Linked DNA regions of Coturnix japonica. The protein of the gene in region 1 binds, or shares a complex with, the protein of each later gene. Links are inferred from orthologs where the notes say so. Each region holds a gene or a part of one and is shown on either strand. Other genes may lie near its edges.

Evidence for each region. The genes of interacting proteins can lie anywhere in the genome.
Region 2: WDR5 (region 1) and KANSL1 share a complex: the UniProt entries of both Homo sapiens proteins name them as parts of the NSL complex. The link is inferred for Coturnix japonica from reciprocal best matches to the Homo sapiens genes WDR5 and KANSL1.

The regions. Positions count from the first base shown.
Region 1 is NC_029532.1:5,720,105-5,728,051, reverse strand, and holds part of WDR5 (WD repeat-containing protein 5), read right to left. Parts: intron 7,047-7,947; 5' UTR 6,933-7,046; coding exon 6,852-6,932; intron 6,229-6,851; coding exon 6,120-6,228; intron 4,888-6,119; coding exon 4,814-4,887; intron 3,909-4,813; coding exon 3,819-3,908; intron 3,159-3,818; coding exon 3,069-3,158; intron 2,712-3,068; coding exon 2,628-2,711; intron 1,578-2,627; coding exon 1,522-1,577; intron 1,404-1,521; coding exon 1,357-1,403; intron 555-1,356; coding exon 479-554; intron 1-478.
Region 2 is NC_029542.1:2,359,255-2,367,201, reverse strand, and holds the end of KANSL1 (KAT8 regulatory NSL complex subunit 1), read right to left. Parts: intron 7,769-7,947; coding exon 7,603-7,768; intron 5,258-7,602; coding exon 5,072-5,257; intron 4,787-5,071; coding exon 4,625-4,786; intron 4,322-4,624; coding exon 4,173-4,321; intron 2,268-4,172; coding exon 2,149-2,267; intron 1,836-2,148; coding exon 1,778-1,835; intron 1,626-1,777; coding exon 1,513-1,625; intron 792-1,512; coding exon 548-791; intron 447-547; coding exon 171-446; 3' UTR 79-170; downstream 1-78. UniProt on the Homo sapiens protein: Non-catalytic component of the NSL histone acetyltransferase complex, a multiprotein complex that mediates histone H4 acetylation at 'Lys-5'- and 'Lys-8' (H4K5ac and H4K8ac) at transcription start sites and promotes transcription initiation.

The sequences.
Region 1 (7,947 bases):
TTTCTCCATACCCGAGTTCTTAAAGTCTACAAGGGGCACTTTAGCCCAGCTTTGGAATGCAGCTTTAGTTAAACCCCAAAGTATCAGTTGTTACCAACATGCCATTCGTAATTTCCCCCTTTATGGAGGCTGCATTCTTTCACAGGAAGAGAAACCCATCTGGAAATAGGGACAGCCCTACAATTATACCCATCCAATACAATCATTACCCCCAGCTCTTAACTTTTATGTCTTGCACTGGGATCCATCAGGCAAGTAAACAAAGGATTGAAACCCTCTGAAGACAGCTCAAACATAAGCTAGATCATAGAAAGAGAATAAGCAAGCTACTGAATTTTATTTGGATATAATATGGCAGTATGTATGCACCTGTGTAGGGTCATTATCATGACAGGCAACGAGCAGCAAACTAAAGTTTCATCTGATATTTATTAACACTTCAAAGATGGTGGGTTTCTATTTATTTTATAATACCTACTTGTCCAAAGTTGCAGCAAGAATGTATTTGCCATTCGGGGAGAACTTCACAAAAGACACGGGAGGGTTATCATCATCTGAAATGAAGATAAAGTGATTGTTAAATAGTTCCTATTAAAGTGATTGTTGAACAGTATTATTGTCTCATTGCCCAAGAATTTCTTTTGACAGTAATCTGTTGTTTAAAGCTTTCAGTTTTGTTATCCTTTGGTTATTCAAGCAATACAGGTGTGAGAAGGTGACTGTTTCCAGTATTTCAATAAAAGGATATTAAACATTTTGCTCACAGGCATTTTAAATGACCTTTTCATTCCTTCCATCTAAAACATATCTGTAATAAAGTGTTTTTTTAAACACAGAGTATACATCTATCACCAATCTGCAGTGCCATGTCAGCTTTATAAAGCACTTATAAAAAACTTCATAAGAATATGAAAGACTGGGAACATATGCCTTATAGGTGGTTTCCTTATATTAGCTTTGCTCACAAGATGCCTTATGTCATCAGCAATAAAAGCAGGCAGCTTGTTCAGTCACAGACTGTTTCCATCATATCCAGCAGCACAAACACTTTTGTTGTTACAGTTCTGAGCCGCTGCACAGCAATCATTACAGAACTGAATGATAGAAAACTTTGGAAGTCTTTCATCCAGCATCTAGACTTACAGAACACTCCAAGGTTAAGCAAGATCCCATATATGCAAGAGGATAGCTCCTATTAACTGTCATAGCTACAAAGACAACAGTGTGCTAATGGAACAGCATTGAAACAGAAAAATAGAGGTTAAGGAAGTCAATGCTCACTGTGATGATGCAGTATGTCTGTATCACAGCTGGACAACAAAGAATGAAGCACAAACAAGAAGCATTCCTACTTACCAATGAGTGTTTTCAAGCACTGTCCTGATGCTGTATCCCAGATTCGACTATAAAAAACATATGGGACTCATTACTACCACTATAAGCTTTATTATTAGTATCATTAATCTTTCGTCAAAGTGCAATAGATTTGAACACTGAAGCAGACAAGAAACAACCACTTACCAGAGTCCATCATAACTACTTGACACTATCAGGGATCCATCACGATTAAAATGCACCTGTAATATTATAAAAGAGGGGGAAAATAACTTTACTTTGTTCACAAGCATCAAATTTTTACGCCCCACCAAGAGTATTCACCTCCCGATGCTGACATTGCAGTTCATATGGATAAAAGCAGAAAGTCAATGATATTCAAACAGTAGATGTGAATTTAGATGGGCAATAGGATCAGAACAAAATTCTTCCCCCCTGCACTGAGTTCACCTGGCATAAATGGAAATGGCTGGTAGCTACAGCTGTACATTCAAGCATCAGGAACTGACATGTCTGTTTCCTCAGAAGCTAAGAGCAGTACCTTAACACGAACACACAGATACTCCGCTCAGACACCATTAGCTGCTCAGTTTATAGTAGTGTCTAACCTGGGGATAACACCTTAAGATTTTAAGGACATGGAACTTCACCCCATATATAGCCTCACATATTCTGAGGTCTACTTATTGCCTTCAAATACACCTGAAAATGCTGCAATTTAAAGCAATAATTACTACTAATGTGCATTATAAGTATGAAACGTCTCCTAGGTAAAATAGAACAACCAGACCAATCACATTAAAGCAGGTATCGTTTAACACAACTGAGGCTGAATATTCTTTCAGTGTTTCCTCCATTTCAAAAATATTAAGAGTTGAACACCTTCTAATCCTTCATTTGAAGGGATATGATTGCAATCCAAGCCATTTTCACAAGATGAATTAACAAGACTGGAGTGTGCTCTGAAACCATCCAGCTCCAGACCTCAGCAATTGCTTGGAACAAGAAAGCAACAGATGTACAGCAGGTCCAGGTTGCTCTCCATTCCTCAAAGGGATCATCAGTCCATATCCCAGCATCAGACTGCCAGGCTCTAACACAACCAGCACATCACTATTCACTGCTCCCCATGCAGAGACTCAAGACACAAAACCACACAGGCCTTACGGATAAGGATCTTAATTTTGCTCTCACCCAGCAATGACCATCCACAAACGACAGCCCATTTTATAAAGGTATCATAATAAAGAGCATAAGCACGTTAGCACGTTAATTTATCAGAAAGGACTTACAGCTGAAACTGGGTCAGAATGAGCAGGCAACGTCTTGAGGCACTTCCCTGTTTTCACATCCCATATCCTCACGCTTTCGTCGAACTGAAGAAACACAGAACATCATTTTATGATACAGTTATTTGTAACCTGGAAGACATTACAGCTTGGTGCAAGTCTAGACACACACGCCTTCCTCCAGTTGTACTGCAGCTGCATCAGAAAGGCTAAGATATAAGCACTGCACAGGGTGGCAATAACAGACTGCAAATACAGTTCTCTCTTTCTCTACACACAAAGAAAACTGCATGTTAAGGATGGGTTAAAGGCCCGACTGCATCCCCAAGACAGCAATAACACTGCATAGCTCACCTAATTACAAGCTGCATTTATGGAGGAAGACATCATTGAAATAAGGGATGTGCAGCAATTGCTTTGCACAGAAGAACAAAAATCACTTACTGATCCAGAAACGATGAGGTTTGATTGAGGGTTGAAGTTGCAGCAGAAAACGTAGTTACTGTGCCCCTTCAATGTCTTCAAGCACTTACCCTGAAATAAGATTTAGCAGATTTAAATATGCATGTATGGCTATAGAGGATACTGCAATCAGACAAGCTGCATAGTGCAGAATGGAAAGAAACCATCTCTAACCATAGACTTAGATAGGCAGAGGAACAGCTGAAGAAAAACAAAGGGAAGACTTTTTCAGGGACCAGTTTTCAAAGCCTTTGGGCAATCAGGGAAAACCCAACAGTTTAACACATCTCGTCAAATTTAAACCAATTTATCCAGTTTTCACTGTAACTGCAGAAAAAAGAAGGCAGAAAAATAAGCAAAGAGAAATGAGCCTATGATGAGAAGTTATAAATACTCTTAGGTTCCATCTGAGAGGCTGCTTACAGAAATTAAACTTGAGCCTGTATTGTTAGTGTAAGACTGAAACACTCCCAGAAGATAATCAGAGTCCTCGTGGTACCCATAAGCACTGCCCTCTTTCCAAAAGAATGCAGCACAACTCTCCCATCCTCACTGCCCATTCAGCCAGCTGCTCGTTTTAAGCAGCAAACTGGGAGCTACTACCTAAAGAGGATCAGTGTTTATAACTCTGTCTTCTCCAATCATAGCATGTCAAGCTCGTCTCGCAGAAGAACTTGATTTAAGGTAGCAATTCTAAGGAAAAGGAAGGCAAATAACAATTTCTGTTCTTACCGAGCTTACATCCCATATCTTGAGAGTTTTATCATCGGAGGCAGAGACAAGAAGGTTGGAATCTGATGACCAAGCAACATCAGAGATCCCCTAAAACAAAAGAAACCAATCCTCTTAGCTCCGTTTACTTACTGACATGGGAAAATGGGAAACAGACTCCATGTTCACAGCTGAAGTGTGAAAGATTCAGCACTGGGAGATGCAAATTAATTAACGTGACCGGGTTACAGCTCCTTTGACAGTTCTTCATTTTAAGTTGGGCCGTGCACTCCAAAAACACCAGCAGCTTCCTCACATAGCTCTTACTGTGGCCACCAACACCCTTTCATTGAATCCACAAACAGTATATTACATAAACTAATCGGAATGAGTGGTTTCTCATCATGACAAATGGCTCACTGCTTCTGGCCTGAGCTCCCGAGGGTTGGAGGAGAACAGGACTCTACTGGTTTTTCATCTGGTGAATCTTCAACTTTGCTTCTGAAACTTCAGCACGTAGCAAACTTTGGGAAACAAAACGGAAGAGTTTGGGGATTTGTGTTTTCTCTACAGCTTTGGAGAATGAGTAAGTGCTGTGTTTACACAGACAAAGCCACAAGGAAAATTCAATCTCCTTACAAGGCAAGCCATTCTGCTCCAGATACAAGGCAAAGACAGAAGAGGGCACGGCGTTCACAAGGACTTTCACCCTATAATATATTGCCCCTTGTATGAAGCTGGTGTTGAAGCTGAAATGGAGGGGCTCGAGAAAAAGGCCAGTGTGCATGCGGGTACTTCACTACCAGCCTGCACCGCACCCACATTTCCAGCTTGACCTGATGTCACCTCAGTAATTCCACCCCCAGACAACTGCACAGGACTGTATAAACAAGGAGATACAAATACAGCCTTCTGCAGCAAAGGAACCACGAATGGAAATGACTAGATGAGGAAAAAGAAGGGAGAATAAATTCATTACAAGAAAAGACTCATACGCAGTGAGTCCTTATACTTACCAGTTTATGGCCAGATATCGTTTTTTCAAACTTGCCATCATATGCTCCCCAAATTTTAATAAGTTTGTCAGCAGCTGGAAAAGAATGTGCCAGTTTAAGAGACATGCAGCACTGACAGACACAGCTGGAGGACAGGGATATGTTAACCATGCCCCTACTAAAGGTGGGTAGTCCTCCCTCTCTATGCACACACAAGCGTATAAGGCTGTATGTAACTGGTAAAGAATGGTTTCATACACACCACACTCACTGCTGCAACTGAGATTACATAAGCTGCCTGGAATGCAGTCTCCAGTCGCTTTAGTTTCTCTGATGACAACTTGAGCTTCTACTTTTGTTTAAGCCTGCCAGTGGTAGACGCAGTACTGTTCCATGTGGAATGCTGAAACTCTTTTGCCCAGAAAGAGCAAAAATTACATCACTACCTGGAATGAATTAATGCCTGCATAAACCCAAACATGCTGTCCATTTTAACTTGCAAAACGGGCCAGAGAAAGAGGTTGATATTTGCCAGAGGCTGGAAAACCTTAGGATGGGGGAAAAGGTCTTTCATAAGGATAACAGAACATAAAAGTGATTTACACATGGTATACTGGCCTTATAAAGGCAATGTGAAGTTAAGCCAAAGACCGAAGTAATTCCCATGTCTGGAAGATGTTTGACTGGCTCCCACCATCACATTCAATATTGTTCTTTAATTGCTCTTTCTTCATATACAGTACCTCACTGAGGTTAGTATAAGGACATTTACTAAGGAAAGCTACCAAGCAGTTTTCTTGGTGACAAACACCAAAGCTGTCAGGGGAGAACTCAACCTGCCAACTAAGAGGGAGCAGCGAAACACTATGATCTGCATATTTCATTGGGATAATCTAAGGCTCTGACTTGCTAAGAACCACAGGCACAGAGAACAGAAGCACACAGGCAGTCCTTCACATCACAATGCAATCCAGCCCAGCAGTGCCAAGTTAACTCTGACATTTCCCAGAGCTGAGTTTTACCTGCAGGTACCGCACCCAGAATTTAAAAGCTTAAGCTTCATCTTTAGTGCCACAGAAAAGCACAAGGATGGGGCAAGAATCCCGTTTGCTTTTGTCCCCTTGCACAGTAAGAAAACTAAACAGGAAAGGACTCTGAGTTAGCAAAACACTGAAAGATCTTGGATTATCCCAAAGTCTGCCAGTTTGGGCATTGTTCCTTTTAAGAACAGTAAGGACACTTATCCCTTCTCCATCCAGTCAGTTAAGACAAGTAGTTCTACAAGGCCCGTATTTGCATTCTGTTGATGTAAGAAAGCAATACTTACAGGAGCTGGCTAACCACTCTCCATTAGGACTAAACTTTACAGATGATACCGCCTTCGTATGTCCCGCTAACGTGAACTTTAGAGCATAATTTGGTTTCACTGGTGCAGGCTGGAAGAAAAATACATATGAATGAGTTGAATAAATTCCCAATTTAGTTTCTCAGTGACAAGCTCAGTATCAGACGAGATCAGCACACATGAATACATACATTCACCTGAACAGATTCTACCATTTACATTCTCTCCCCCCACCAAATTCAACAAGCCCCCACTGGAGCCAGAAGCACATTACAGCCACGTGCCACCAAACTCATCCTGATCTGAATTCCCTTCAAGCCTGCAACTAACAGATGACAGTAACACAACAGTTCGAGCACAGAGTGTTTTGAGATTAAAATAAAACCTCTGGTGATGGTTTTATACTCTGTGTATAGTACTATGAAATGCCTGTAGTTCTATTCCTTGCTCAGAAGCAACCACAAGCCAACTCCCCCAGGCCCCTTAAAACTCTATTTCAACCAAATAATCAACCTAGCACTAAGCTGTACTCAGCCTGCTTTTCCCCTACAACCTTCAGCACACTTCCCTCTCCATACAACAGCAGAGGCAGACGTATTAAGAAGTTCTTAATGCATACTTGATTCAGTTCTCTAATTGCTGTTTGCCTGGTGCACGTGCAGGTATGCACCATGTGCATTTACGCAGGCATTGTTCAGAGCTCCCCACACACACCTTGCTCTGATTGGTTGAGGAGGAAGGAGTCGATTGTGTTTTGGTGGATTCTGCATCTGGTTTCTTTTCTTCTGTTGCCATGGTTCTGAAGCCGGCAAATGAGACCTACGGTGCTTGAAGGGGGAGAATGAACGTGCTGCTTCACAAGGCAGCCCTTGCCACGGGGAGAGGAACAGCGCTGCTAGAAACAAAACCCTGGAAGAAAAAGCAAACAATCACATTAACCATCAAAGAAGGATCAGAGGCAGCTAAAGGAACAAGATCAGCTTAACTGCAGGTCTGCAGAAAACATGATGAGGAAACATATTGTACGCCTGCTCAGCAACATGCCATTTTATGCCTACAGGTCTATTAGTGGTCTATCAAGAACCCAAATACAAGACTTTGATCAGCTCCTGCACAGCGTTTTTTGCTGTGTTTTGTACCAATCACTACAAATAAAGCAGAGTAGCTCTTAGAGGCAGTGGGTTTATCTTATATTCCTTGAAACATCTGTACAACACAGCAAATACAACACCTTATATATAAGGCATTTCCAAAGCTTAAAACCACACCAGGTTTGTTTTATTTTTCCATTTCCTATTTCAAGTACTTTGGTCTAATACCTTCCCCCTAAATGCTGTGAGCACCATATCCCTGCTTGAGAGATCCCCCTGCCTAACAGCAGCCCTGCATTAACCTCACCAGATCTGCTTTCTGTAGCAAAACCTGAGCAGTGCTGTGCTGTACCCTGCAATCAGGGCTGATGCTGCAGAGGGAACAATCACGCTGCAGTTCAGCTTCATTTCAGCAGTGTAACAGAATAACCCGCAGCTCACATTGTAAGGATTTACAAATCCTTTGCTATTTGCAATATCCCATCCCAAGCACAATCCATTTTGCTTGTGGCAGCAAATCCAAGAGGAACAGCATTGACTTTTCAAGCCACGATGCACATCTTGTCCTCAGGAGGGCACAGAGCTCAGTGCCACCAGTTGCAAGCTTTACAAGCACAGTACAGACTCCTTACTTACTGTTAATACCAGCAACTCCAGCTCTATAATCCAGATCTAATGCATTTCAACCTGAACTTATATGGGAACTTGAGCAAGCAACA
Region 2 (7,947 bases), on another chromosome or scaffold:
AAACAAAAAAAACCCCAAAAAAGCAGTTTTCTAAACTCCTTAAATTCACTAAAAACTGTGAAAATTCCCGGCAGGATGTTTGAATATCAAACGCAGATTTTGGAAGCTTTAATGCCAAGAGTTAGTTCTGTGTGTCGGTTTTTGCTCGTGTCTCCCCCCCTGCTCCGTCTCTATCTGTGCGCTGGCCGCTGAACCGCTGCTGCTGCTGCTGCTGCTGCAGAGGAGGAGGAGGAGGAGGAAGGAGGGGGGGTCGCCAGGGGGGGGCGGCTCTTGCTGCCGGGCAGGGTGGGTGAAGCTGAAGTGCCTTCGTTGTCCCGGGAGGATTTGCTGCCCGATGTACGTCGGGTGCAGCGCGATGAACGGTCCTGGGGGTCGCATTGGTCCTCGCACTCCGTCCTGGGGTCGTAGCACAGGGGGAAGCAGCGCCGCTCCCAGGGCAGCATGGCCTGAAAGGAAACAGACACAGGGATGTGCTGGATGCTCCTCTTGGTGTTTGACCCCCCCCCCCATCAATGTGCCCCCCCCTCAATGTCCTGCCCGCACCCACCTGCTCATCCAGAGCCTCGGGAGTGGAGCAGCGCGTGTCCTCGCTGGGCAGGAGCCGCAGGGAATCGCGGGACAAGGGAGTGAGGGGAGCTGAGAGCAGTTCGGGGCTGATGGGGCTGCGCGGAGAGTGAGTGTGGGACAGCTCTGAGTGGGAAGGGCAGCCGCCCATGTCCGGGGATGCTGGCTGGGGGGTGGAGGGGGTCCCCAGCTGGGGGGTCGTCCGTCCGTCTGTCGATCTGTAGGACCTGAGGAATGGAAACAGCGCCAAGGTGAGCAGATAGAAGCTGCTATGGGAATAGAACAAACCATGGTGGGTCTGTGGGGTGAAAGACCACGGGATGCTCAGATCTGCCAACAGCATTTCAGGGAACCAAGGGGAGCTGAGCTGAGCAGCACAGCCTGGCCCCGGCCTGTACTTACAGCCCCATCCCTCCTCACTATGGACCCACAATGGGAACGGGCTGCTGGCCCAGGAGGGGTCACTGGGAGCTATTGGGACAGCTGGGGGAGCAACTTGTGGCCCAGAGGTGAAGGTGGGACCTCAATGCTGCGTGGGAAGGAGCTGGAGATGGCAGCACCTCTCCCCAGGATGCAGAGCTCTGCCACAGCCACCTCAAGGCAGGGAACATCCAGCCCTGGGGGCACTCACACCAACGTGAACTGCAGCACAACCACACAGAGCCACCCTGCTGCAAGCACAGCTGCACTGAGAAGGCTGCTGCACGGCTGCATGCAGCTGCAATGCAACCCCAGCTGCACTGACATGGCTGCATGCAGCTGCAGTCCACCAGCAAGAGCAGAGCAGTTCCAAACCAAAGCATCAGAAAGCAAATGGAAAAGAGAATCTCATCCTCCAGCTCTGTCAGGTGAGCAGAGCTGAGAGAAGACACTGCAGCAGTGCTGAGTGATGGTTGGAAGGGCAGGACAGGCGTGTAATGGAACAGAAGCAGAGCTGTGCTGCTGTACCTGCTGCCCCGCCGCTGCGGGGGCACACTCGTGCTCCAAAGCCACCGGGCTCGCTCCATCTCTTCACACTTGCTGTGCCGAGCAGCAAAGGCTGAATCAGACAAGTCCTCGATCTGTGGGAGAGATGGGATGGCACAGGGCTCAGTCTGGGGCTGTTCATGTTGGATGCACATCCGTGTGCAGTAACATCAATTGGTGATGGCCAGAGCACCCCAAGTGCCACCGAACCCAGCGTCACCCCATTGGGACACAGGGCAGCTCTCACCTCCTCGTTGTCTTCATCGGGGCTGACTTTCAGGGCGCCGATGTCCACCTCACGCCAGCTGCAAACAAACACAAGGTCAGGGTGCAGCCAGCCACAGCACAGCCCCATTGATTGAGGAAATCACAACAAGCAGCACCTGCAGGTGGGCGTTCAGTTCAGCTGCACATCTGTCCCCACAACCCCCCCATGGTGCCAGCAGAGCAGTTTCTCACTCCAGCCCCACGTGGAGCAGCTGCTTTCAGGCACTGAGACAACACAATCCCTATGTCTGTGTGAGGGCTCCCAGAGCTGCTCTCCCAGGGGAGGCAAAGCCCAACTCCTCCCCAGCAGCCCCCGGAGCAGAGTCCTGAGCTGAGCTGATGGGCACAGACCTGGGCGTCAGGATCTCCTTGTACTGCAGCTTCTCGACACGAGTTGTGGCAGCGACAGACATCGGGATGACAATGTTGTTAATATCAAATGAGCTTTCCCCTCTCCTCCTCCTCGGCTGCTGCAATGGAAAGATGAGAACAACATGAGGAAGGCTCGGAGGCTTTGCTATGGTGAGGCAATGAGAAAGGACCAACAGAGATCTGTGCTGGAACTGAGTTGTGCTGCCTGCTGCAAGGCCTCCCCATGGGAACAGCCATGAAAGGGGAGAGAAGAGCCACACAGAGCCCAGTTCCCTGCTGTGAAGTGGCAGTGGGACCATGAGCACTAAGAAGTGCAGGCATGGAGCACAGCTCCAATGGGATCAGCACAGGGCTGGGATCAGTAGCTCATCCTGGCTTGTGGCAGCTGCTCTACAACCTGATGGCTTCCACCTGCAGCTTCTTTCAGCCGGGTTTCCAAGCTAGAAATAAGCTGCACACTCAGCTTATCCACTTGGGTTGGATGCTGGGTGCTCTCTCTCTGTCCCCAAACCTCCCCTGAGCAGCACTGCAGCACAGCCATGGGATGCTCCAGGCTCTGAGCACTGCCATCCCAATGAGTGAAGCTGACAGTAAGAAGCTCCTGCAGGGCTTCTCCCCTTCTCGTGCTTTTATGTCCCAGAGCAGCCGTGTTCCTGCATTACAACCTGAGCTCAACCTGCACTAAGTGAAGGGATGCTGCTCAGCTTCCCCATTGCCATTTGTATGGGCTTTGGTAGAAGTGGCAGCACACGACAGGGACCATCATTTCTGAAGCAAAACCTGCTGGGCAACCAGAGGTAAAACTGCAAAAGCACAACAAGTCACAGTGCAGGAAGCTGCAGCTCCTGTCATGCACACACACCTCCCAGCTCAAAGCAGCTCCCCGAAGGAACAAGTGCAATGCTGCTGATTCTGCAGCAAAGTTGTGCACGTTGGGAGGTGCTGCACAACCACCAAAACCAGACCCAAACCTTGTCCTGCCCTGCACAACGCCCACACCTCAGGGCTGCTGGAGCAGCACAGGCGGCTTCTGGGGCTGGTTGAAGCCGGGTGCTGGAAACCAGCACCATGTTGTAACCCTGTTAATTGTGAATGGGCTCAGGGAAGGGTGGCAAAAGGAGCAGGAAGGAAGATCAAGTGCAGGGAAGCACGAACAGATTTCATCTTGACATGCTATGGCTGCTGAGGAGCGTCCTGGTCTCCAAAACACTCGGCTCATTCCAGGGAAGCTGCTGCTGCTGGTTGGAGTCTCAGCCTCCCCTGAGCATTACAACCCACCTCACTGACAACAGCTGATGACGCAACAGCAAACTGTTCTGGGAAAGAACCCGGCTGGAGGTGGCAGCCCCAGAGCTCAGAGCAAGGACAGAGGCACACAGTGAGCTCTGAGCCCCCAAAGCCTGGATCCCCAGCAGGGGCTGCACCACACAGAGACCAGGAGCTTTCCTAGGACACCTCAGAGCTGAACAGAGCGGGAGGGAGCTGGGTCCTGCTTGCTGATGGCTTCCAGAAACAGCTCCACAAAGGTTCCAAATGCTGTCATCTGTTCTGGGAGGCTGAGCATGTCTGGGCACACACTATGAGCCAACCCCAGTTATAACGACAGCTAAGTCCCATCCTCAGCCCAATTTACAGCCCAACACACAGAGAAAAGGCCAGAAAGGGGAAGAACCCAGAGCAGGAGCTGTTGTTGTGTCAGCAGCTTTGTGCTGCTGGTGCTCAGCTCTTCCACTCCGTTTCCTGGCATCCCCTGACATCTTCAGTAACCAGAATCCGGACATGGAGCAAAGCCAGTGGGCTACTGGGAACGGGAACATTCACCAGCACTTACTGAACTGACAGTGAACCTGTCACTGCAGCCGGCTCCGTGCACAGCCAGGAGCACAGCAGACCCAAAGCCAAAGCAGGAGGAGAGCCAACACAATCCCATCACCAGCGAGGTAAAGATGCTGGGAAGCTGAGAGCCGAGCTCAGCAGCTCCCCACACAGACAGCAATACTTACGGTGCCGGAGGTGCCCTGGGAGCTCGTGCTGGTGGGAGCAGAGCCCTCCGAGGAGGTGGACAGCTGCCGTGCTATGGGGCTGTGAGGTGCATGGGTCGCAGCCGCTGCCAAGTAGCTCGGGCCACCGACGTCCGCGTGATGCTTCAGCACTGCATGGGGAGGGAGGAGAAAACAAAGAGCCACGTTAGCACCAAATAAAATAAGGCTGGGGGGGTAGGAAGGAGAAAAGGACCATCTGTGCCAGAAATGGCCAATGCTGAGGTGAGCCCTGCAGGAAAGAGAAGCGATTTGTGACTGCAAACAGCTCGTCAGGGGCTGCAGGGAGCAGCAGTCGGGGCGCACGGTGCGGTGAGGAGGCCCAGAAGCAGTGCGATCCCTCTGCTCCAAGGGGAGACAGGCTGATGAGCAGCAAAGCCCAAGCTCCCCCCGAGCGCCCTGGCCTGGCAGCCTACCTTCACTCCTCTCAGATGAGCAGTCGCGTAATCGCTTTTTGTCATGGGCGGGAGGCTGGACAAGCGAGCGCTCAGGCGCTCTCTCGGCCTTGGACACGGCCATAAAATCGTCTAAGGGCGGCCTGTGCGCCTTGTCTGCCTGGGCTTTGTGCTGTGAGCGCTCTGAGGAGGGGAACAGAGAAAGAGCCATGAAACTCCTGTTTTCACCTCTCTTTCTGCGGGCATGGGATGCATCACTGCTGCGATGCTGCGGCTCAATGGCGTCATGCAGCGGGCAGAGCTCTGCATGGGCACGGCCTGGTGTTGGGCAAGGAGGGTCCCTACAGCCAGGAGCAGCTGCACACACGGCCCCTTCAGCCCCAAAGGCTCCGTTTGAATGCTATCCATCCTCCTCTCTCCTCCCGGACCGCACTGCTTTGGGGTTACCAACAGCAGGGGGGCACTTACTGGCTGCGGTGAAGAAGGAGTTCACCAGCTTGTGGCGGTCCTTGCGAGCGGGGTCGGTCAGGCTGCTGGTGGGCATGGGGGCTCTGTGCTTGAACGAGAGCTTTTTGGGAGCTTTCATTTTCTCGTAGGGTTTGTTCTGCCACTGGGATTTCAACATGCTCTGGAAGTGCAGGCTGGTCGGCACGTCTGCGGAGGGAAAGCAAATGCAGAGTTCACATTAAGTGTGTACCAGGAAGCAGCGGGTCCAGCATCACCTCCCAGTCCCCAGCAAGAACTGCCCCAACACACAGAGGGTCATCACTGCACAGCCACATTTGCCTGTGTATTCAAGGAGGAGCTGCTACGTGAGGATCCAGCATTCCCAACCTGAAGCTCTTTGAGAGCAGCACAGTAATACAGGATTCACACCCAGGTATATCCTGGCAGGAGAATAAAAGGCACGTGGCTCCATTCTGCTATCTGTGATCTGACTTCCAGGGCTCTGGGATATCTCAGCTCATCAAACCTACAGGAATACAGACTGGAAGAGAGAAGTTCAGCTTAACTCCTCCACTTCGGGTCAGGCCAGAAGCCAAACAGGTACGGTGTGAAGTTCATCTGCATGGCAGGGCATCTGCCATGGAACCAAGGGTGCTCCAAATGAGCACACTGCAGGGCCCATGGAAGCAGCAGCCCCCCAGGGTGCTCACAGCTGCACCCAGAGCACTCAGCCCGGCCTGTGCTGCCTTTTCAGACCACGCCGTGCACTGCAGTGGGGCACACGCTCCTCTTGTCCACACTCCTCAAGCTCCATTGCATCCCAGTCCCACACAGACGTGCTCTCCTGACCTCAGCTGAAGGCTGGAACACTAATGGGGTTATTCGGTGCCTTCCTTGTGCAGACAGGCCACGCTATGGGGTCGGCTCTAAAAACCATCAGCTGGACCAACAAACTCCCCCAGCAGCACCGTTCCTCCCCCAGATCTCACACCATGTTTTTGCAGGGACTCCAAAGCGACCCTGAGCTTAGAGGAACCTTCCCAGAGCCCACACGAGGAGCTGAGGTGCCCAGCAGCCCTGCAGAGGGGCCAGCACTGCAACTCGGAGCTGCTGCAGCATCTGGGAACTGCAGATGACCTCAGAGGGCAGCAGGAAGGGATGGCAGCCCTGCTGGCAGCCTTGGCAGCTGAGATGGGAATCCATCCCCAGTCATTCCAGAGGCTGGAAAGCCCCAGGACGGGCAAACAGGGCTGCAGGCTGCAGTCACTGTCAGGGGAACTTGATGCTGAGCAAGAAGCCAGAGCAGCCGTGTTTAGAAGACCCTGGTGCTAAAGCTCTCACTGAGCCCCATCCATGTGGGCAGCAAAGTGTGAGAGCAGTTGTTCAACCACTGACAGCCTGCACAGACTGATCCCAAAGGGGAGGGAGGGCTCAGAGAGGGCCCTGAGGGGAAAACAGCCTCCGCTCTTTGCTCATCTCCTGCCTCTTCCTGGAAATACATTCCACCGTCAGCAGCTGACACATCTGGGGAAGGATGGGCCAGGCTGAAAGGAGGCAGAAACACAAAGACAAAAGGCAAACAAACTGTGCTGCCCTTGTGATGGTCACAGCCACGGTGCAGAGCATCCAAGGACCGGCAGATGGCAACCGCGCCGAGCTCAGCACGGCTCACATCCTTCCACCAAGGTTATTACATCATCCCCAAACTCCCAGCTACAAATCACACCGAGCAGAAAAAGGAGAAGAGAGAAGGGACAGAGAACTTCAGAAGATGTTAAAGCTCCGCCGTGCACTCCACGCTGCTGCACCAAGTCTGTGCAGAGCTGGATTTACATCTGTGAGCACAAGGCTTTGACCCGACCCAAGCACGAGCAGCAGAACATCACCTTCCCCCCAGGAGCCATCCCCTTCCACTGGGAGACCTCTGCCCTGGCCTGCTGACAGCTCAGCTCTCCTGCAAGAGTGCCCACTCAGATCATCTGCACCTCGCTGTGGTCAGAGGGAAACGATGATGGGTGGAGAGCAGTACATGCAGCCAATAGGTTTTAGTCAGAGCAGCAGCAGCCTAATGGGAACGTCCCTTCCTCCTGTACCCTCTGACCCACTCGAGATCGTGGACAACTCCATACAAGGTCAAAGAAACATCCTGCAGCTTCCACCAATCCACAAGTGGTTTCATGCAGGTAAATAAGCTCTGCTGAGGTCTGTGACCACCAGTCACCATGCTCTGATGTTTGGATGGTGATGGAGTTGGATGCAAGGATCCTTATGGTCCCGTCCAACTCAGATTATGCTATTTATGACACCAGCACAGGACCCAGCACAGACTCTCAGGCCCCAGCCAACACTCTCTCTTCTGCTGCAGCAAATGCTCAGCTCCTAAAAGCACGTGCAGATGAAGAGCATGGTTTTAATTGCATCCATCACACCAGCACCTCCTCAGGGTGAAGGCTGCACAGCTCCTCAAGCCCCAGACACTCCCTGGTGTCCCATGTCAGCACCCAGCCCGACCCCCCAACCCCCTCCCCACAGCCCTGCTTTGCTGTGCTCACCATCAGGGAAGGACAGAACGGGATGGATGCAGGAGTCCAGCTGCGAGAGGCGCTCCAGCAGCGGCGCATCGTACTGCATCTCCAGCGCCGCGGAGCTGCGGGCACCACACAGAGCACACGAGGGGTTCACATCACAGCTGCACCGTGCCAGGCTGTTCCGGTGGACCTGGAGAAGGCCACAGAGAAGTTCAGCATCCCACAGGGCTCTCTTTGCATGCTGCCCTTTGATAGATCATCAAATAAACCCTGATCTTATAACACCCTGCAGCAAACCTGTTGATTCAGTCTGGACCTTACATCAACACAGCCGAGAACGACTGCTTGCCTGCACACAGCATCCCCTAG